Arabidopsis thaliana: one gene and its partner. The protein of the gene in region 2 interacts with the protein of the main gene of each other region in a biochemical or structural test. Each region holds a gene or a part of one and is shown on either strand. Other genes may lie near its edges. The genes, in order: TTL3 and NTT1.

The links.
Region 1: the proteins of NTT1 (region 2) and TTL3 form a complex in vitro, tested with the Arabidopsis thaliana proteins (one study listed by BioGRID).

Annotation. Positions count from the first base shown.
Region 1 is NC_003071.7:17,720,235-17,737,822, reverse strand, and holds TTL3 (tetratricopetide-repeat thioredoxin-like 3), read right to left. Parts: upstream 9,345-17,588; 5' UTR 8,969-9,344; coding exon 8,070-8,968; intron 7,983-8,069; coding exon 7,787-7,982; intron 7,707-7,786; coding exon 7,522-7,706; intron 7,434-7,521; coding exon 7,100-7,433; intron 7,019-7,099; coding exon 6,817-7,018; intron 6,734-6,816; coding exon 6,627-6,733; intron 6,515-6,626; coding exon 6,362-6,514; 3' UTR 5,987-6,361; downstream 1-5,986. Other genes in the region: PPC2 (phosphoenolpyruvate carboxylase 2), read left to right, coding at 1-37, 127-211, 286-508, 589-692, 790-874, 971-1,125, 1,407-2,405, 2,496-2,882 and 1 more; GRF9 (general regulatory factor 9), read left to right, coding at 4,048-4,120, 4,348-4,654, 4,732-4,819, 4,917-5,026, 5,120-5,268, 5,556-5,659. UniProt on the Arabidopsis thaliana protein: Involved in osmotic and salt stress tolerance. May play a role in the control of meristematic cell size during osmotic stress. May function as an adapter protein for BRL2 and may be required for signaling affecting leaf vascular tissue pattern formation.
Region 2 is NC_003070.9:30,189,700-30,196,440, reverse strand, and holds NTT1 (nucleotide transporter 1), read right to left. Parts: upstream 4,904-6,741; 5' UTR 4,488-4,903; coding exon 3,699-4,487; intron 3,496-3,698; coding exon 3,241-3,495; intron 3,152-3,240; coding exon 3,008-3,151; intron 2,927-3,007; coding exon 2,579-2,926; intron 2,500-2,578; coding exon 2,161-2,499; 3' UTR 1,836-2,160; downstream 1-1,835. Other genes in the region: AT1G80315 (uncharacterized protein), read left to right, coding at 709-1,017; MOT2 (sulfate transmembrane transporter), read right to left, coding at 96-1,490. UniProt on the Arabidopsis thaliana protein: May function as an ATP importer.

The DNA of each region.
Region 1 (17,588 bases), on a different chromosome or scaffold from region 2:
AATCTGTTCGTCGGTCTTTGCTCCAAAAGTTTGGAAGGTTTGTTTAACTTTTTTAGTGTCTTGACATTTTGGATTCCTTGTGTGTGTGACTTGACTGATGTATTTTTTTGTCTCAAATGTTTTCAGGATTCGTGATTGTTTGACGCAGTTATATGCAAAGGACATTACTCCTGATGACAAACAAGAACTCGATGAAGCTCTGCAACGAGAGGTAAGCGAAACTAAAGAACTCAATAAAGCTTCTTTTGCATGAATTCTACTAAAACTCTGTTTTTGTTGCACCAGATTCAAGCTGCTTTTCGCACAGATGAAATCCGAAGAACTCCTCCTACACCGCAAGATGAAATGAGAGCAGGGATGAGCTACTTCCATGAGACAATCTGGAAAGGAGTTCCAAAGTTCTTAAGACGTGTTGACACAGCTTTAAAGAACATTGGAATCAACGAGCGTGTTCCTTACAATGCGCCTCTCATTCAGTTCTCTTCTTGGATGGGCGGAGACCGTGATGGTACACTCTTGCTTCTTTCTTATCTCAAACCATTAAAACATGAATTGGTTCTTATGAGTGAAAACATTTTCTGAATCTAGGAAACCCGCGAGTAACTCCTGAAGTTACAAGAGATGTATGCTTATTAGCTAGAATGATGGCTGCTAATCTCTACTTCTCCCAGATAGAAGATCTTATGTTTGAGGTAGCAAAAATTTTATTCACATCACAGCAATTTAGTTTATTGGTTAATGTTAAGGACAGAGATCTTATTTTTTTTGGTTTGATGTGTTTGTTTGCAGATGTCTATGTGGCGTTGCAATGAGGAACTTCGGGTTCGTGCAGAACGTCAAAGATGTGCGAAGAGGGATGCAAAACACTATATAGGTGTGTGTTACATTCTTGACATTTTTTTATGTGTCCGACATGTTAACAGTTTGTTATATTATGTTTGATGTATGATCGATTTTTGGATGGATGTAGAATTCTGGAAACAAATCCCTGCGAATGAGCCATACCGAGCTATTCTTGGAGATGTGAGGGACAAGCTGTACAACACACGTGAGCGTGCACGTCAGTTATTGTCAAGCGGAGTTTCGGACGTTCCCGAAGACGCGGTTTTCACAAGTGTGGATCAGGTGTGTTTTCGTGCTGTTTGCAGATCAACTAGAGATGTTTAAGCCATATAACTGCAACTTCAATTCCTTTGAAAATTAGAATCGTATTTGATTAAACATGGAAGCTATACCATACTGATGCATAGTTTATTTGGTAACTATTTTTCTAAATTTGAAAATCCCAAACCAAAAGAGAACCAAAATATGGATTGAACCACTCTAAGATCAAAGCTGTTGTTTGTTTCTTGTTTGATTGATTTTATAATTTTCTAACCTTTGATTGTTTCTGTTTCTATCCAAAGTTTTTGGAGCCACTTGAGCTTTGTTACAGGTCGCTCTGTGATTGCGGTGACAGACCTATTGCTGATGGAAGCCTGCTTGATTTCTTACGCCAAGTGTCAACATTTGGCCTTGCTCTTGTGAAACTTGATATCCGTCAAGAATCTGAAAGACACTCTGATGTCTTGGATGCCATCACGACGCACTTAGGTATTGGTTCTTACAAAGAATGGTCGGAGGATAAAAGACAGGAATGGCTGTTATCTGAGCTAAGCGGGAAACGCCCTCTCTTTGGACCGGATCTTCCCAAAACCGAAGAGGTTGCAGATGTGTTGGACACTTTCAAAGTCATTTCTGAGCTTCCTTCGGATAGTTTTGGTGCTTATATTATCTCAATGGCCACTGCTCCATCAGACGTGCTCGCTGTTGAGCTTTTGCAACGCGAATGCGGGATCACTGATCCTCTGAGAGTTGTCCCGTTGTTCGAGAAGCTAGCGGATTTAGAATCCGCACCTGCTGCAGTTGCCCGTCTCTTCTCCATAGAATGGTACAGAAACAGGATCAATGGAAAGCAAGAAGTCATGATCGGGTACTCTGACTCGGGCAAAGATGCTGGTCGTTTATCAGCGGCTTGGCAGTTATACAAGACTCAAGAAGAGCTCGTGAAGGTGGCAAAAGAATACGGAGTCAAGCTGACAATGTTCCACGGAAGAGGTGGGACCGTTGGACGAGGAGGTGGACCTACCCATCTTGCTATTTTGTCTCAGCCTCCGGATACCATTCATGGGCAATTGAGGGTAACGGTTCAAGGTGAAGTTATTGAACAGTCTTTCGGAGAAGAGCACTTATGCTTTAGGACTCTTCAGCGTTTCACAGCTGCAACACTTGAGCATGGAATGCATCCACCGGTTTCCCCTAAGCCTGAGTGGCGTGTCCTCATGGATGAAATGGCTATAATTGCCACTGAAGAATACCGTTCTGTTGTCTTCAAGGAGCCCCGTTTTGTTGAGTACTTCCGTCTGGTAAGTTCTTAACCAGCTCAATTACTCCTCTCTTAAACAAATTGTAGTTAAAAAAGAGAGTCTAAGTTCAGGTTTGGGTTTGTATTATAGGCAACACCAGAGCTCGAGTATGGAAGGATGAACATAGGAAGCCGACCATCAAAACGTAAACCAAGCGGAGGAATCGAGTCGCTGCGTGCAATCCCGTGGATCTTTGCGTGGACTCAGACGAGGTTTCACTTACCCGTGTGGCTTGGCTTTGGAGGAGCATTCAAACGCGTGATACAGAAGGACAGTAAGAATCTCAACATGCTCAAAGAGATGTACAACCAATGGCCATTCTTCCGTGTCACAATTGATCTAGTCGAAATGGTTTTCGCCAAAGGAGATCCCGGAATTGCGGCTCTGTATGACCGCCTCCTCGTCTCTGAAGAACTTCAACCATTCGGTGAACAACTTCGAGTTAACTACCAAGAGACCAGACGCCTCCTCCTCCAGGTATTACTTACTTCCACTATAACCACATTATAGATGTCCCATCCGGTTTCCATGCGGTGTCAGACCATACAAGCTAACTTAACCCGTGCGTTTCGTACCTTTCCAGGTTGCAGGTCACAAAGACATTTTAGAAGGTGACCCTTACTTGAGGCAAAGGCTGCAGCTTCGTGACCCATACATCACGACATTGAACGTGTGTCAAGCCTATACACTCAAGCAGATCCGTGACCCAAGCTTCCACGTCAAAGTCCGGCCACATCTCTCTAAGGACTACATGGAGTCTAGTCCAGCGGCTGAGCTCGTGAAACTGAATCCAAAGAGTGAATACGCACCGGGACTTGAAGATACGGTTATCCTCACCATGAAGGGTATCGCTGCTGGTATGCAAAACACCGGTTAAGGCAGTTTAAAACGTTCTTGTACCATTCCCTAAATCTACGCTATGTAATGTATTATGTTCTATGATGTGATGAAATCTCTCCAACTCCTATCCCGTACGCTTTTTAATGAGTATGATAATTTCTTGTGTTATTCTATTGTTGTTATGTTACCATATCTAGGAAATATATTTCTGAAAGAAACAAGAAAAGAAATCTTTCTTTTCGTTCTAAGATGTTGAAATTACCATTCGTAATATATAAACTCCAAAAATTAAACACTTAAATCCAAAAAATAAACTCTAAATTTTAAACACGAAAATTTGGACAAAATAGGTATGTCATTAAATTCATTTTTTTTGGAAAAACAGTTCCTTAGTTATTCCCTAATGAAGATTAATTCCTTCTAATGTTATATAGTCCATTATTTGAATAAAATATAAAATTGTGCTGAGAAGATAAAGTACAATTAAAATGAGTGGACTGGTGGATAGAGAGTGATGACATGTCATGATATGGTTAGACAGAGAAGAACCAAATGGATCCCACGAGGAATAATATAATGAATAAAATCACTTACTGACACAGACCATTGAGTAGTAATTACCCCGTTTAACCCGCGTTAATTACGCTTGTGTCCCTACGCGCGTCTCAAAGATCTCTCTCTTCTCTGGAGAAAAAATAAAACAAAAGAACAGCGTTCGCCGAGAGATATACATACTCGGATCAGTCGTCAAAAGCTTTGGAATTTGATACTTTTGATTTTTCGAGAATCTTGAAAATCAGTCATGGGTTCTGGAAAAGAGCGTGACACTTTCGTCTACCTCGCTAAGCTCTCTGAGCAAGCTGAGCGTTATGAAGGTAAGGAATCTTCTTCTTCTTCTTCTCACTCGAATCAGGTCTTTTTGATAGCTTCTTGAGCTCGATTTCTGTTTGATTTTACTGGACTTTGATATCATCGAACGGGTTTCAATCGTTTGGTTTGATTGAGAGTTTACGAATGGGGAACTTCTTATCAAGGAATTAGATTCAAAAGTCTTGATTTTTAGCAGATGGGTATTGAAAAATGTGAATTCTTTTTTTCACAGAAATGGTGGAATCAATGAAAAGTGTTGCGAAATTGAATGTTGATCTGACGGTGGAAGAGAGGAACTTACTCTCTGTGGGTTACAAGAACGTGATTGGTTCAAGGAGAGCTTCGTGGAGGATCTTCTCGTCGATTGAACAAAAGGAAGCAGTGAAAGGGAATGATGTTAATGTAAAGAGGATCAAAGAGTATATGGAGAAGGTTGAGTTAGAGCTTTCTAACATATGCATTGATATTATGTCTGTCTTAGATGAGCATCTCATTCCTTCGGCTTCCGAGGGTGAATCTACTGTCTTCTTCAACAAGATGTAAGCTCTATAATGCTTCTTTACATGGTGTTTAACTTAAGGTTGTGTGTCTGAAGATTTTGTTTTGGTTTTTGTAGGAAAGGTGACTATTACCGCTATCTTGCTGAGTTCAAATCAGGGAACGAGAGGAAAGAGGCTGCTGATCAGTCTTTGAAAGCCTATGAGGTGTTCTTATAGTGATTTGTAGTGTTATTGATCACTGGACATTCTTGGTTTTTCGTTACTTTACTTTTGAGTTTTTGTTTGTTTCTTTCCTTTACAGATTGCTACTACTGCTGCTGAGGCTAAGCTCCCTCCAACACACCCTATCAGATTGGGTTTGGCTTTGAATTTCTCTGTCTTCTACTACGAGATCATGAACGCACCTGAAAGGTTTACAGATTGTTAATTATACTACTAAGATAAGAAAAAAGACTCATTGTTTTGGAGATTTGAGATTTTTTTTTCTTGCTCTTTTCTCTTCAGGGCATGTCACCTTGCTAAGCAGGCGTTCGATGAAGCTATCTCAGAGCTTGACACTCTGAACGAGGAATCCTACAAAGATAGCACCTTAATAATGCAACTCCTTAGGGACAATCTGACCTTGTGGACTTCTGACATCTCAGAAGAAGGAGGTAATGATCATCACTCTGGACCTAAGCACACTCTTTAAATATGATGTTTTGATGTCTTACACAATTGCTCTTTGGTGTTTTTCCATTCTAGGTGTATTTGTTCATTGTCATTTCTTATGTGTAGTGTTGATTTACTTGAAACCAATGAATCTATAAGACAATTTAAGCATATCCATGGACATTCTTGATGATAGATAGTTGAAATAGCATCTGGAAGACGATTGCCAGTTTTTATCAATATATATTTTCACTTGGACTTCAACTGTTAATTTTGCATTTGTGTGCAGGAGACGATGCTCATAAGACGAATGGTTCTGCCAAACCTGGTGCTGGTGGAGACGATGCAGAGGTAAGTATAAGAGATTCCTTTACTCGGGGTAAATCAAATTAAAATAAGCCGATTTTGATTCAAGATTTCTTTGCTTATGTTGCAGTGATATGATATGTGTGCACCTGGACAATATGTTTCAAGAACTGAATGTGCGGTGAATAATAGTGAAAAGTAGAGTTTCTCTGTTCCCTATATCATGATTGTCTATGTTACTTGTACTCTGGTTTAGCCCTAAATGTCTCTCTGGTTTGAATGTATTGCATGCCTGTCTCAGGACACTCTTATTTGTAATTCACTACTGTCGTCTTACTATCTATCCTTATGGATCCAATCTTGAAACTTATATTCCTTCATTTCTGAATTGCTGAGATAGAAGCTGATTGGATTCGGTACTCTCTGATTCATATTCTGTCACTGATTGAATCAACAACACCAAATACAGTAAACTCTGTTCAGTTTCTTTCACTGGTGTGGTGAATAATCTAGCATACACAAGCCAAGCGTAAATAGATAATGAAGCTTGCATTTCTTGAATCATTGCGAACATTTACCCATACGTAATATGCCAAAGCAAGCAGAGCCAAACTCCAAAAAATAAATAAAGAAGAATTAGAATCGAATAAGAAGAAAGAATGAATAGTTTGTTGAATTTGACAGAAGAGCTCTTTCCCATCTTTCACATAGAATGCTTTCTGAGTCTTTTAAATAGGCTATTCGGATCGAATCATAGGGAAGCAGATAATGATGATAGGGCTTTTTCAATCATAAGAGGAAATGCTTTATAGAGTCCTCTAGAAACTGATGGCTAGGACAAACCATCTCCTTCACTTTATCTCCATTCTTGTACATCTTAAATGTCGGAACTTTCCTGATACTCTCTGCTTTCGCCAACGCCATGCTCTCCTCCACATCCACCTAATAACATTTCATTTTCTCAGTTAACACATTGAGAAACATAGGTTATACATATAAGTTTAGAAGAAAATGTGATATAAAAAGCATATTTGGAATGTGTTCTTGTTCTTACCATAAAGAAATGTACTAATGGATACCGAAGACATAAAGTGTTGATGAATGGAGAAATTTCTTCGCATTGTCGGTTTGATGATGATTTGAAATGAAATACAGAGACACCTGAAGAGAAATGTTTCCAACTTGAGCAAGACACGCAAAATCTCAACCTTTTGAGACAAATTGAAGTTTCTCATTAGACTTACCGGGAAGTGCTACGGATTTCTTGAACTTATCCAAAGTCGAAACCGCTTCAACTTCATTATTGAAACCTAGGCTTTTAGATTCTTGGCTTCTGTTCATTAGCACTGTTTTCGCTCTCTCTAGAGACTCTGCAACTTCACTGTCTCCTGGAAGTTCTCTTCTCAAGAACTCATAATCTTTAACCGCATCCTCCCACCTACCAAGCTATATATTTCAACACACATTGTCATTCGAATACACTGCAAAATTCTGTCAATAACTGATTATAGTAAGTTCTAATCTCACCTTTCCATATGAAGCAGCCCTACGTAGAAGTGCCTTGATGTAACTAGGCTGGCTTTTGAGCGCATGGTTACAATCTTCAACAGATTTCTCCCACAAACCGAGCTTATACCAACACGCTGCTCTGTTGCAGTACAAAACCGAATTGGAGTCATCTTGCTTGAGACCGTCTCCATAAGCTACACACGCTTCCGAGAATCTCCCCGAACTAAATAGCTCATTACCACGAGTACGTGCCCGCACAACCATCTTCACATTGTTTAAAACTGATACAACCTCAGGATTGGTTTGATCAAGCATCGCAGCTCTCTCTGCCTTGACAACCGCATTCTCAAATCTGCAACAAACCTATCATATCTACTCACTCACCGGTGGAGAAACAAAAATCCAAAGAATCACAACATTTCTGAGTTTCGAAAGCTCACCTTCCTAATGCCATATCAACTTGAGCTTGGATACAGAGCACATAAGCTTCAACTACCATACCAAAGAGTTTCACCTGCGGTTGAGAATGGTAATGATGATCCAATCTTGGAATGCAAGATACACAAAAATCCGAATCCTCTATTTGCTTAAGACGCAAAAAGGCTTCTGCTTTACAAGCTACAAGCTGTCCAAACCAATAGAAAAAACCTCACTGTTAGTCAAAAATCTTTACAAGCATATCATACGACAATGATATGTAATCACCTGAGGAGACGAATCAGCGCCGTTTGCAATGGCTGCATCGGTTTCCTTAATCGCGGTTTTCCAATCTCCAATCTTTCGAGCCTCCCAGCATCGTCGGAGATGCTTCTCCAGCGTCTGTAGCCGTTGGAGATCAGCTTGATCCGGACATTGACCAGAAAAACAAATGTGACGTCTTGCATTCTCAGCTTCACCCAATCTAAAGCAACAATTCACTCCATCATTTCAAATTCTCAATCTTTAAACTAAAAACACAGCAACAAAACAAAAAGCCTCTCAAGATTACCTGAGATAGAGAGAAGCAAGTCTTTGGTGAGCTCTGGAGTAAGAAGGATCAATCCTAACAGCTTCAAGACATTCTTTAACGGCTTCTCCTAACCGCCTCAATGCCGTTAAAGCCGCGGCACGGTTGCTTCTGTAAGCTGCATTTCCCGGTGAAATCAAAATTGCTCTGTCATAAAGCGACAGAGCTTCAGAGAAACTCCCTCTCCTATACATATCATTCCCCATTCTCTTCAACTCCTCCGGGTTTTCGCCATTCTCCGCCACTCTCACCGCCTTTCCGCTGGTTCCTCCTCCTCCGCCGCTGCGTACAACGTTTCCATGTCCGTAATTACCAGTTCCTGTGCATAGAGTCTCAGTCCTACTTGAAGTCCGAGACGCCATTCCAGTTTTCAAGATCCGACCCGACGGACAAATATTTCCCGCCGGTAAAACGCCAGTATTGGGAGACACTGCCGACGTAGCACCGCTACCACCTCCTTGTGGCGAGGTGTGACTCGTTGCTGAAGTAAAGCTAGAGCCAGAGAAGATCAAAGGCGTGCCAGTAGAAGAAGATCTTCTATGACCCGGTTTAAGAATCCGGGTCGTGGTCGGCATTCCGGATCCGGGGCTAGAAAGCTCACCGGAATGACTCTTGTAAGCATCATCTAACCGTTTAGCCATCTGAGAACTCACCGACGGTTTACCAGAAGCAGAGCCAGAAGAGCCAGAGCTGCTAGTAGGAGTCGCAGCAGCGGAAGAAGAAGCAGAGCCACGTGGCATTAAGGTAGAAACAGGAGAACCTAGATCGAGTTCTCGAAAATCAGGTTTGTTGACGTCATCATCATTTCTCTGTAAATCACGAAATCGACCAGTGATTGAATCTATAGCAGGTTCCAACGAAAGTCTTCTAGAATGAGACATCGTCGTCACTTCCTCGTGAGCTGAATCTAAAATGAGACTCAGCTTCCTTTTCTTCTTCTCAGAGAAGTCAAGAGACCACCACCGAAGCTTTTAACGCCGGACAGAAACAAGTACTGTCTTCAGAGAGAAGAGAGAGAAAGAAGAGGAAAAAGAAAGACAGATCTCGTGATAAATAGAAAAGGAAGACGCAAAGAATTAAGATGAAGAAAAAAAAAAGGATTAACCTTGATTAATAAAGATTACGGATTTATCTCCCTGAAGATTATGACATTGATCTTCTTCTTCATCTTCTGTTTATCTCTCTTCGCTCCCGTGTCTTCACGGCTACTTGTCGTTGAAGAAAATAATACGGTGATTTATCGAATTTATTATTAATTAATAAACTCTATAGTCTAAAATAGTTGACTTTTTAATTTTGAGCACAGTGTTCGAATATAAACTAATTAGACTTTTTCTAACATTTAATGAATTTAAGTTTTCTTAATAAATTAAAACATTTAACCCCTTACTAACTAACTACATCTTTTTTTTTTGGTGCACACTAACTAAGTACTAAAGTACATCTACTTTCAAATTGTTGCGTTGTGTTACGGAAACGAATTATGATATAGTACATTGTATCTGTTAATTTGTATGAATGTTAATTAGTATTTAAAATTACTAGCTTCTGACGTCAAGGGCACGAAGATTCAAGCACGTTCACTCATGTTCCCAAAATGTTACTCTATCGAAATGTATAACATCATTTATTAATACAGACTATGCAATAGCATAAGCAAGGCAAGCTAGCTATATGTACTAGTATCATATTAGGATTTTTTAAAAGTAAACACTAAACCTTCGTAGGATATTCAATGCGCCACGACATGTTACTATTTTATCATTATTACTAGTATTTTTTTGTTGCAATATGTTTCATTTATCAAACCCACTTTTAGGGTCGTTGTACAGAAGTCTCGCATTAAATTGGCCGACTCAATTTTTATTAAATTGAATAATTGTAATGGTATTTTTTAGACATTAACATTTTAACTAGTGTTTAGTTAGTTGTAAAAAAAAATCTGGACAAATTACTAAGAAATAAGAAGTTATATTCTAGAAAGTAAATCTAATGATTATTTCTACAGATACAATAGATTTTTATTATAAAAAAAAATTAGTTAGAAGTATGTCAACAAATCACAGACTTTTGGAGTTTGGTTAAACTATTTGACCAAGAAAAATGAGAAAAAATGCCACGTAAGGATTTCAACCCTCGTACTCAGAGACAGCAAGATAGAGGGTAAAATCGTCATTCGATGTAAGATGTATTTATCAAGCCAGCCAAACTTTTGTTTAAGCCACCATATATATTGTACTATTATAAGCATATAAAGTAATCTTTTATTGCAATAGCCAATTTAAATGTAAATAACAAATGTGTGTAATGCAACAAAAATAAAGAAAATTACAAATGAAAGTTCAATATCTATTGCAGAGCTGGCATTTTTAAAATCTTCATTTTGGTTTTCGGGTGTCCTTTGAAAAGGCTGTCATAGTTCTCTTTTTTTCTTTTCTGGGGATTACTGTTTAATTCATTCGATATAGAGTAGTTAATTTGCTGAAACTCATAATTAATTACTTTGTATTAACTATTTACTGTTTCTAGTAGATCATGGCCAGTCCGTACCGTTCAGACCTACGGAACCACTAATTACATTGAACCAAGCACCATGCATGCCTTCATTTTATTTTATTTTTCTCTAGCTAGGTCATGCCTCGCACCCTCAAATTATTTTCCATATATAGTCAATTAATTTTCTCTTGACTTTTTCTTAAATAAATTATTTCGCTATATAAAAATATTTAAAACAATAATAGGATAATTAAGAACATAACGATAATAAATAGTAAATACTAATTAAAGAAAAAAAAGGATAAAAAAATAGAAGGGTGTTGCGGTAATTATGGGGATAATTGCAAAACGGTGATCATGCCAGCTGGTTATTGACTTCTCTGCTGTGTCTGCCAGCTAAGCACACAGTTTCCGTTAACGGCGTTTAGTTTTTCAATAACGGATTATTCTGTTAACACCGACGGATTATTCGAAAACTGACCTCGAGCCCGCCAACGCCAAGCATGAGATGGGTGACGAATGACGATAGTGACTCACTATTTTCACTTAAGCATACATGATAAGTAGCAATAAAAATTACATTCGTAAAATAATTCTAATATGACTGACTATATGCGTTTTTTTTACCATAGACAAAATAAATTATGGGTTTGTTGAATGGCAGAATACTGAATACGTATAAGTGAAATGTGCATTTGAAGATAAGATTGGCTTTCAGAATTATATATTTATGTCTCACATTTTTATTAATACTTCTTTATTATCTTAATTCATAAACGACATAAATAAAAAAAATCAGTCTAAAACGACACTTGCTTTAAAATGAAAGGAATATTATTTCTCCACGGATTTAACTCAAAATTTAATAATTTGGACACCATTTGCATTAATAGCGAATGAACACACCAATCATACAATTAGACTGATTATTCAAACGCATGTCACATTGTTTGTTCCGCCGGAGACATACAAAACATAATACAATGCGCAGGCTGTAATGTTTGAGCATGAATGACCCCAATCAAAATAGACAAAAGAGGAAACGTGTGAAAATTATAAAAATAAAGTACAATTAGTTGCTAATAATGTGTTTTACATCTTTTTTGTTGACTCTCATTAAATCACTGTCGGGCCATCTTTTTAATCACGAGATTCGAGTTTCATATCAAACAAAAGAAAGTATCCAATCTTTTTTACAATTTCACCCGTCGGCAAACATACTTTACTTATTACTAGTACTTATCTAATCCATTACAGTAATTTAATTTAAACGATGCTTGATTTGATTCAAGGTGTGCCGAGAGGAAAAAATATTTGTGTAAATAAAACTTTGTAACTGCTTAATTCTATTAAGACAATTCCTTAGTCAAAATACTACACGAATTATTTATATATGTACTGTTTTCTAACTAACGATATTTTTATTGCCTAATACATGCATTCGTGTTCGTGCTATAATCTTTCTTATCTATGTGTATCTCCATGATTCTTGATTATATATACAAAAACGTAAGAAAATTATCTGGTTTTCTTTATTATTCGATTAATCAGTTTACTAAAAGCTAATCCACGCTTGTCTTAACCACTATGATTCTTAGTTAAGGGTATCCTATGTTTCATCAATATTATTTTAATTTTTATTTACAAATTATTAAGATCATAATGTCAGTCCAAGCAAAGAATATATGTAGATCGCATTACCGTCCAACTCGCATTTTATTTTTGTCAACCCGAAATTTTTTTAAGTTAACATTCGTTTACTCTAATTTTCTAAAGTAAACAAGTACTTTGCTTTAGAGTGAAATAGTTCATCTAAATTCTAAAACTGGTACGTGACCAAAAACGTTGGTGGTAATACTTTTGGTCTAGTCTTTGGCCAATGGATGTATGATGATGGCTTTCAGATTATATATAGAAGCCAAGTTATAAGAACTGTAGACTCATGTAGTTTGAGAAAAGAAATATCTTTAAAATTAGAAAAACAGCTGCATGTTTGGATAATTGATCATATCCGTATGTATAACTAAATTTAATAGATCAATTATATATTGCCATGATGTTATTTGTTGCCACCTGAGGTTAGATGCTCTATCATGTGAGCATATGCTGATATGATATGAATCTTCTTTACCTTCATCATCATCTCCATCAACAATTTAATTTATTTCATATTACCACTCTTTAAAATTTAAAACAATACATAATTGAAATCTAAAGGTATATTGGAATACCTATTCATGTACTAATTAAGAGATTTTTTTTTTTAATAGTACTAGCTAGTAAGATAAATAATCGTAGTAGCTATTATTGGAAAAAGCTTAATAAATTTGAGATTTCTTTATAATCTGTTATCAAAATACCATCACTTTTAGTTACAAAACTTAATTTTCTAATAAAAGGGAGTAAAACTAATATATTTATTTGTAAGTATGTTACTTGTTTTCTTTGAAAATGTTTTAAAATAAAATAGAAAATAATTGATGAACTTTTCGTAAATGAGGGAGTGTATGTGTGCTGTGCAAAACATTCCACATGCACCATGTCTCAAATTTTGAAGGGTAAGGGTAAAACTATACGCATACCTTTTGATTTAATGCAATTATGTAGAGTTTGGTAAATGACGTTTTAAAACTAGAAAATAACGTTTGAAACTTTTTAACAAAAGAAAAGTTGAACTATATTTTTTTTGTGTGGGTTCACTAGTTTCTTCAGTTCACTGTTGGCAATATGTATTCTTAATACCTTACGACTAATTAGTAATCACAAGAGCTAACATTTTCCAATACTCTATATATGATAATATGAACCTTTTGTCGTTTCCAGTAGAGAAAAAATCTTTGGTATTCCTCATATGTTTCTGCTTTTGTTTCATCTAGTTGAAATGAAGACTTAAACGACCAAATATATGCCTGCAAAAACATACACATTTCCATGTGTCCCAGTCCGAAGATAAACATTTTGTTGATAATATTTTAGTTAAGATCTAGTCTCCTTTCTTTTTGTGTGCAAAAGTTAAGATCTAGTCTAAGTCTACTTTTTATCGAAAAAAGTTTATAGTCTCTCAACTCTCAAGGCCTCACACTCTTAACAAAAATAATGTATGTTTGAATGAACCAATAAAAATGGTAATTTGCAGAAACACGTATACAAAAGGAGGATAGTGAGTTAATGGTAATATTCACCCTCTAGTTGTAACTTGTAAGCGAGATTATTTGTGTGTTTTTTTATCACCAAATTAACAGTTTTTGTTATAGTTAGATAGAAATTTTGCCACTCCATAATTTACACTATATTTTTTATTACTATGTGACTTTAATTTGTATTACCATGTATTTTTTGGTTGGTGCGATCAAGTATAATCAAAGAAGAACTAGTTACATTTTAAATTTATCAAAAGAAATTAATGGAAATACGCAAACGAAAGAAAAGAAAAGAAAAGAAAAACCTGGATATAGAAATGGGCAAATGGCTGTTTTAGACTTTTAGGATAAATGAACATGAAATGTGGGGGAAAGAGTTAAACAACATGATTGGTGACACATGTTGTTCTTTGTCTTTCTCTGTTACTTCAGTCACGCCATCATACCATTGAGATCGAATTTCTCTTATCTTTTATTCTCTTTTTCGTAATTTTTTCCTTAACATCTACTACATATATATATAAAGGTGAAATGATATCTTTTCTATCAGCAAAATCTTATGAGAAATAACACTAGAGAAATAATGAAAATGTGGGAAATTGGCACATGCCGCTAACTCTAACATGTGATTCAAATAATTTTGAGTCTTACCTCATACAAAAAAACCGAAAAAGCGAGAGACAAAATAAGCATTATGCTCTGCCATTTCTTCCTTTTTCCTTAAATCTTTATTACTATATGAATCTTTTTATACTTGATCTAAACAAGAAATACCAAAAATGACTAATTTGATTGGTTTATTCTCAAACACATCCAGTTAGATTCGATTTAACTAAGACTAGGAGTCTAGAACCAAAATAAAGACATTTTCATTATCTTAACACACACACACACACGACAACTAGAGTTTATTCAATTAAAATAAAAAGGCTTCTGATAAATCCACGTTTTCTCAGTTACTAAACTGACGCAAGTATCTGTATCTGCTGGCACATACTTTGATAGCTATATGGACTGAATCAGAGAAGTTGCTAATCTGGTCTGTGTTGATAGGAGCACCATTGTGCACCAGATCTAATAGGTCAAGACGTAAAACCACAGGGCTCGTTTTCTTGACCCGATTCTCGCGGTTGTTCAACATGAAAGACACACTCCTCTCGCTTGCATTATCTTGAGTATTCAGTTTTAAAAACATCTGTGACATAATAATCTAATCCATGGATAAATGGGCTCAATCCTATGTCTACAGGCCCAGATAGAGCCTTCTTTGGTTCTTCCGTTGACGAAAATGGACCCATCTGTTATTTGCGATAGTACCAACAAAAAGAAGAATCCTTATTTTATTTTCTCAATATTTAAGGAAATCATTTAAGTCGAGAGTTGAATTGAATGATATGGCGGATGCTAGGTAGGGGCATAAAGTATTGTGATAGGGACAATACAAATGTAGATATGTATATGAGCCTATGACGACATGAGTTTGCTCAATTCCACACTTTCTTGTCAAATCTGCCTTAAATCCATTATTCTCACAAGTTCCGGTTTGTGTCACTTCACTAATGACCTTCGAATTCCCAAATCTTTATTAGTGAGACTTTATAGCCCAAATTAACCTGGTTCTAGTATTAATTTAAGTATGTGAATCCTCAAACTGTTCATGCCTAAATATTTATAACGATTATTAGAACAATACTAGTCATAATGGTATAAATTTTGCAGCAATAAATAACAAAATATGTACAGCTGAAATCTGATCAGAAGTTTAAAGGGACATAACTTTTTTTAATAGCATTTCAATTTTTTTTATAAATTCAGGTCTACGAACGAAACGATTGGCATTTTTAGTATGAAAAGTTAGAATAAAATCAAATAATGTATTAATTAACAGTTTAACACATATAACGATCGTATTAAAACTCATACGAACGAGTAAACTTGATGAATTGGCTTTCTTTTTACAGCTCATAATAGTATAGTACTCAAAAAAGTATTGGTATATCAGTGTGTAAAGAAACAAACGACTATCGCCAGTATGTTTCTGTCACTTATTTAGATTATCATGAGAGATTGAAAATGGCGAAACGTGGGTGGACCATTTTTTTTTTTTTTTATAATCTCCTTCTCATCAATTATTGAACAATTCAATCTCCAGCAGATTATTATTGATTGGTTCTATATATTGAGTTATTGACTAAATTATTCGCTTCGTGTTGCCTTCGAAATTGGATCTCAATTAACTAACTTATATACTCATCTTACTTATTTTCTTGTATTTTTTTTTTTTGATAAATTGTTTGATTCACAGTCGAGACTTTCGACCATATAGATGTGTGGTTTGTGGTACTCAAAAGCTACATGATATTGTATGAAAAAGAAGATATAATACAATAGTCTTATGTCTAGCGGCCATAACATATACATTAGTTATTCGTACAAGTCAATGTGTTATTATCCGGAAACTCATAAAAATATGTTTTTGAAAATTAAATGTAAAGTAAAACAACTGGTTAGATCTATGGAATCATGAACTAGTGATATATAGTTTAGATTGACGGGTGACATATTGTGTTGGTTAGATCGGAGAATAAGTGGTTTATTCATAACTTGAGGTACCTTGCAGGCTTCCAAATGTTTTGTCTTTGTGTGGTATGCATTATGAAAACTTATTTTGTTTCCTTGTTAGCTCACGAGATCTCTAGTTACACAAAAGTTTACTGTATTAGTATGCATTATGGTCTTGAAAATTTCTTATTTGTTTTACATTATGGAAGCAAATTTGTGCATTGCATTAAAAAAATTAAAAATATCGAGTTGTTCAATTGTTAGTGTCTGTTTATCCGGATACATGGCCACATTTAATAATTAATAGGGTTTATAAATAGTATTTTACATTTTTCACTTTTCATTTTCAACACGTCTCATAATTAATATAATATAAATCCACCGATTTTCATTTATACATTTAATCTTCATAATCAAAAAAGAAGAAGAAATTCTCCATAATCACCGGCGAAAAGATGATGGTGAGACGTTGTAGATATTTTTGGGTTTCTCTAGTATTCACACTATTGCATGAGTGCATATATATGAGAGATCTAGATTATATATCTGTAATCTAAATTTCGATGAAAGAAGTATAACTTCATTCCAAAAAAAAAAAGTATGATTAAAAAAAAATGACAACAAATAATTTTATTTTGACACGAATTACATATAATTTTATTTAGACACGAATTATACACTTTCTGGTTCATTATGTCAATGATAATAACTATAATTACACCCACACAGTTATCGAAGGTTTACGAATAATAATTGGACAATATATGGCTCTTACTCTTGTACTATTTGTGGGGCTTATGTATACTCAAATCTACACGTACGTATAAATCGGTGTAAAGTCAAAGTTGGACCCGCTTGAGACTCTCTCTCACAAACTATTTTTTTTATATTTTTTTTCGACACTCACAAACTAAATTTTATGAAATTGTATTTTCCTATTTTTTGCATCCTTTACCTACCAAGCGTCCAAGCCTACTTTTATGAGTTTTTTTTTTCTCATCCTTTTAATTCTTTCGTAATAATGAATCTATACTGAAAAAGTGTATTTATTAGCTGGCAATTGACACAAAATATTAACCCATAATTTACCAGCAAATTACTTATGAGCTTATACCAGCAAATCTTTTAATATTTTTGTATTTTTTATAAGACTGATAGTTTTTGGGTAAAAACGATGATTTATTATTGATAACACGAAATTAACCAATAAACATTGTTGGTTTTTCAAAGTCTTGGTTTCAGCTTATTTGAACCAAGCTAACTAAAAACAGTGTTGCAAATTTCAACATTTTCTTACTGTTGA
Region 2 (6,741 bases):
GAGCGCAGATGGAATCGAAGACATAAGATGCACTCGCAGCTGCCCGCCATTTCGTCATAAGTACTTCTCCATCAAGTCATTTTGGCAAGTCCATCTTAGACATCACGAGGAGCGGCTTCGGAATCGACCTGCGACTCATCACTTGACCGGGAAAACAGAGTTACTGAAGAACAGTCTAACGTTCTTAGCTTCAGTAACAAGTAAAGAACAACTCCACAACCAAATCCTAAGGCGGCACTCGAGCCAGTCATCGACACAGCGGCGCAGACCAGCATGATGAAGGAATCTTCTTTGGAGTTCATGTCTTTGGAAGCCATTGCCAGTTCGATTCCCGCGAATAGCAACAGAACCCCTAAAATTCCAATCGGAAACTGACTCAGAATCCTTACAAAGGAGTTTCCAAACACCAGACCCACAATCAGTTTCCCGATTCCGAGAAAAATAACGGATAATCCACTCCTTGCCCCAAACCGATACTGACCAGCTAACCCACCAGCACCGTGACAGACGGGCATAGCGCCAAACCAGCACCCTATTAAGTTCATCACCCCAACGCTGATGGAGACTGTAGTCGCAGAGAGTTCCTTGTCAAACAAGTCATTGGATAATTTACAAACTGCGATCACTGAGTTCAGTACAGAGAGTGGAATCTGAGGAATCGCCGCCCTCAGAAACCCGATTTTCCAATCATCCCAACTGATTCTCAGAATGTGGAACTTCGAGGGACCGAATTTAAGGTCTTTGAAAATGGATGGATCACGTATGAAACAGAGCACTAACCCGAGTGCGAACACGATCAGCGCAGATGGAATCGAAGACAGAAGACGCAGTCTCCTCCGGCGAGACTGGCTTTCGTTGCTGGAAGTCTCGGCGAGATCTCCATCTTCAGCTTCTCTGTCGTTGCCAGAGCCGGTGGACAAAATGATGAAGAGCAGAGCAGCTAGAGCCAAGATAAGGCCGTCGAGGCCAAGCCAAATACGAGGAGAAGAAGAGGGTTTGAGAGTGGCAGTATCGTAATTAAACCTGACGTATTTGATGGCGGTGAAGGCGAACTGAAGACCTTGAGAAAGCTGGACGCCGCGTACAACTGGGAGAGGGATGATGTTGTAGAGGAAAGACATAGCTCCGGTGGCGCCAAGGAGGAGGAGCGTGGCGGCAGTGGATGCACCAGCGGCGGCAATCTGAGAAGGAGTTAGATGCGGGGATTCGGAGACAGCGACAGCGGCGATGGATTTCATGGGCTGGACGGGCATAGGGATGTCAAAGAGGAGACCGGTGGCGATGTTGTAGAAACCAGTGAAGATGAGAGTGGTGGAGAGATCAAGATTGGAGACTAGAGTTAGTGTAAGGACGATGGGGATGAAGGTGCCGAGATCACCGACAGCGCCGGAGAGTTCAGAAGAAAGAGGGTTTTTGAGGCGGAGACGGCGACGGAGCCACCCGCATCTGCTGCGATCACCGGGGAGCAGAGGAGTTGTAGTTGTCTCCATGATTGGATCTAAAGTCAAAGCTCTCTTTCTCTCTGTTGGTTGACAATTCTATTTGATAAGAAAGATAAAAAGGATTGGGAATCCCCGGGGAAGTTGGATAAAAGACGGCTTTTCAGACACTGGACGAGTCCAATGTCCTAACGACGTGCAAATATCAACCATCTTGTATCTAAAATAAATAATTTATTGAATTTCCCGGGACCATGTGAAAATATTGTTACAACAGTACAACTACCTGCTGTTTTTTTTTTTCGCGCAAACGCTTTCCTTTTTTTCAGGTAGCAATAGAGAGACTCACTCAGCAGCACTCAGTGTTTGTATTGTTTATAACTCTTTTCAAAGACTCCTCGATTCGATTGATGTTAATCAGAAGAAATAAAGCAATTGTCTCAACGATACCCAACTTCACTCATTCTTACTCTGATGAGTTTGAGAGTAGAAGAACTAAATCTATTATCTTTTTGACTTCAACGATACACACAAGGAAGAAACTTAGAACGTGAAACCACATTGAACTGAAAAGAATGTAAGGAAAAAAAAGCTACAGACTATAAAGAGTGAGTGGTGCAAAAGGGCGATTGTTTGAGAGACTGCTCTCAAAATCTTATTTTTGATTCATCATCCTTCTTTCTTTCCCCCCCAACAAAACCAAATATCAAAAAAAAACTTTTTATAAGTTGGTGGGAGCAGATTTCTCCGGTGAACTGCTAGGAGATTCTCCAAGGGAACCGTTTCCGCTTTCGTCCTGAGACACGACAGGGATCTTCACCGATGAAGCTCTCTCCATTTCCTTCTCAAGCTCTTCTTCAGACCGCAAGCTGTTGAACTGTCCCTCCAGCGACTTAGCTGCAGCTAACCACGCAGTGACAATAACCAACAAGATCATTCCTAGATACGGCGTTGAATTCGCTAGTGATCCAAAGGATAAGATCATGAACTGCTGTATTAAAGCTCCCCCTGATTTCCCTAATGGGTTGCAGACCACGTCAATCGCAGCTTTGCCTTTAACCTGCACCACATCACAATGGCTAAAGACCACAACTTTCATGCCATATAGATTCCTTAAAAGAGAGGAAAAGTTAGCAAACCTTGGTGTCCTCATCCAATGGGATATAGGCCATTTCTTTGCAAGGGTCGAACAAGCTGTACTTGGCACTCTTGCTGAAGATATTCTGAAGGGCACCGACATACACAGCTGCAAGTAGCGGTGTCATACCAAGCTTGGCAACAAGTGGTGCGAATGGGCCGCCAAACAATATTAGAGAGAAGAACGCAACACCAGTCAATAGCAGAACAGTTGGGGTGATCTTTGCAGCTACTCCCCAACCATACTTATTGAATACGTATTGGCTGAGAAGCATCATTGTGAATGTTGCAACACCCGTGCAGGTTGAGAAGTCTCCCATAAATGCTGAGTACTCATTCGGGCTAGGGAACTGCAGAGCATAAGAAGGAACTTAGAAAATGGAAACATCGAGAATAAATCGACAGATGCATGAGGAGCTGTATATATTTACCTGAGCTTTAAGCTTTGATTTCCATGTGACTTCCACAAGATTGATACTAATACCGTATGCCACCACTAAAGTAGCAAGATCTCTAATGTATGGTGATGATACCAAGAACTTCAAGCTTTCCATCGTTCCCATCTTCGGTTTCTCCTGTAAAGTGAGTAGCAGAGAGACAATAAATCAGAAGAAGAAGAGTCATAAAGTGAAAAAAACAGAACACAAATTTCTGCAGACCATACCTTCTTGTTCTTGCTACGGGTTGGAAGAGGAACATATCTATTGACCCACCAATAGAGGAGACAAATGGCGAGTCCCATTCCCACCACAATGCTCATCATGGCTTTCAACGAAACTGCCCAGCCGTCAACTCCAGGACCAAGATTCTTTCTCAAGTTAGAGAAGTATTTCACGGTTCTTCCTGAGAAAATCAGTGCAACATTGGCTCCAAGTCCGAACAAAGGATAGAATTTCTTGGCTTCATCCACAGTTGTGATCTGCAAAGAGATAGAAGCAATGCTTTAAAACACACACATCACCGCTTGTAATCATATTCAGTGCATCATTACACATCAAAGTCGGTAGCAATCAAAGACTATTATCATCAAATCATAAACACACCAATCTGTCAAACAACAAATGAAGATACACAAAAATCCATAGACCAGCACAAGTTCAAATGATAGACCAGTTTAGTCACCTGATTAGCAAAGCCCCAGAAGAGAACTGAGACCACCACACTACCCCAAAGCTCAGCCATAACATAAAACAAACAGAAACTCCAAATCCGCAATATTGCAATAGGACCCATGAATCTTGGGCCGAGGGTTGTAAGGAGCTTATCTGCGAGAGCTTCCGGGTGAATATAGTTGCTGAGAGGGTACATGACGAAACCAAAGGCCCCAAAGTAGATGATGAAAGGGACAATAACAGTGTAAAACAGAGCCTTCTTGGAGAGAACATTGGAGAGTTTAGTGTAGAGGAGCATAAACCCAATGGCCATAGGAAGATTCACCCAAGTCTTCAAGAAAGGTATAATCTCAGCAGAACTTCCTTTCGCCGTCACCACCAAGACATCCTTTGTATCCCTCAGAATTGTGTAATTGAAAAGAATACAAAAGAACATCAATCCTAAAGGGATAATCTTTTTCAAGGTTGCAACCTCCACACCGAAAATCTTCGGCGAGGCTACAACAGCTGCGGAATCGCCTTCGCCGAAGACAGCTCCGTCGCCAGCAGCCGCGGCCTCCGCCTTGCATATGAACTCGGTGCTTCTCTCTTTGTGGGAAATCGAAATCCCATGCAGGGTTGGCTCAAAGGTTTGAAATTTCTTGTGCCCGTTAAAGGATAGAGACAACCCATGTAGATTTCTTGGCTTCGCGGCGAAAAGTCTCTGCTTTAAGCCATGGGAAGGCTGAAGTTGGCTTCTCACTCCGATGGGTTTGGTGGGTAAAGAGAGAAGCCCTCTGGTTTGAATCACAGCTTCCATCTCTCTATTTCACTCTCTCCCGCAGATACACAGAAGAAAAAATGGGAGAGAAATGGAGGAGGATGATGAGATGGAGAGATGATAAAGGAGACTGGTTGGTTAGTGCAATGAAAGAATATAGTATCGCCAATTGAATATTAACAAATGTGGTGATGTGTATATATCCGGTAAAAGGAAAGGATTTTTTTGAAATTTTCTTTTGCACTTGTAAATGAAATGTGGTAACGCTCACTGTTTTAACTTGTGCTTAATGCAAGGAAAGGCTAATCTTTCGCATTTATCAAATTGGTATCGGGGTAGATCAATTTACGGTGGTGTTGTTGACTGTTGAGGCATGTGAGCTTTTTCATGGTAGCCAACACAGAAATAGTCTCGAGGGTACCCTTCAAATGACTGTAATGACCTTTTGGTATTACTTCTTCTTCTTCTTTTTTTTTTTTTGTTGTTGTGAGGTTTTGTAGTTGGTGGCTACAACTTTTTTCTTTGAGTTGGTGGCTAAATTGGCTATTACTTTATCTATATTAAATCACGTGTCGTTTTTAAAATTAAAATATTAGTTTTCAAGGCTTTTCAAAATCTGAGGGAGTTTAAAATAGTGCCTTCATCGACTTTTACATAACTTGTAATGTTCGGGTACAAATGCAAAAAATATATATATAATTATTATTATTATTTAAAAAACTTATTAAAAATAAACTTTCATTAAAAAAAATATTCGTGTAATGTGGCCAATGTCAAAACAAAATATATATTTCAATTTATGAATTTCCGTAATTGGTCAATAATAAAGTAGTCATCTACACTCAATTGTTTTGATGTCAATTTTTCCCCTTTTTTAAACGTAAAAGAATTTGCATCCTCCTCAGAGTTGACCGCTTATTTCCGACGGCGGTCCAAAATAAGGACGTCAAACGAAATAAGATGACCAAACTCTTTACTTTCACCCCAAAAAAAAAAAATGACCAACTCTTATACATTCTAGAGGAATATTTTGTCCTTTTCAGAATTATCCTTTTCAGAATTATCTTTTTTTCAGAATTATCTTTTTTTCCCTTGCATCCAACTTTAATATCGCATAATTATATTCTAGGGACCAATTAGAAAACATATATGCGAACTTTCGTTGTGAAATAATATACATCAATAAATACATTCGTTGAGAATAAAATGGAAATATTTTTCAAGAGGTGCATGTAGGTGATACGTCGTGTTTCAATTATGATTTTTTCAAAGAGGGTCTTTTAAGAAAATGCAAATATTTAGGAGAAAGCCACTACCAACAATATTTGAATGGTCATCGGGCGGCATCATTAGCTTGTTTATTGGAGTCGAATCGAACCCATATGTAGGTCCACCTAATAGTGCAATTTTTTGAAAAATAAAATAAAAAACATAATTTGGTAAACACATATATACACGTTGTCGATGATATATATGGTCGAGAGGATAATTGAGAGCCGTGGGATGAAAGAGACGGCTCCGATTGTCAGTTTTACAAGTTGCCGAAGAAATATCCAAAGGCATGGAGCGTATTGCTGCATTGTTTATGGCTTAGGAAGATCCGATACTCTCTCCTCTCGATTCTGTCTTTCTTTATTCTCTTTTTTTTCTTATAGAAACATTAACACTTGTGAAGTGGGACCAAATCATTTCACGAGGAGTACTAGTAACCCTTTTTAACAACGCAACGGTACCGATATCTTCCACGTGGCCAATAGTAAACGGTTCTAGAGATGTAAATAAGGAGGCACTTTTGCTCAGACACATAATGACAGAATCGTGTTATAGAGAGAAACGGTGTTTTATTGAGACACGTCACACACCTTCTCTTTACCTGCGGCTGTGACAGCTGCCTGCATCTTTCCCGTATTTTTCAGATATTTCTCTCTTTTTCTTTTTTTCTCGTAAACTAAAAATCCTCCGACGGCTCCGCCTTTGCCACGCCATTTTTGAACTTATTATTAAGCTTCCTGTTTCCTTTTATACAAAAATGATCACATAGTGAGTAACGCCCACACGCTACAAATTTACCATTTCGAAAAAGACTAATACATCTCTTTTCAATCTATGTTTATATTAAAAAAAAACAAAATCCTAGTTACGATTTTCGTAATTTGAGTTTGGTTCATAATTTGAAATTCCATTTTGTTAATGCGGCCTGTATAGTTTGTAAGGCCCATTTACAATACAAACGGACAATATTCTCGAAGCCCAGCTTCTTCTTTTAGCGAAACTCAAATTTACACTTTTTACT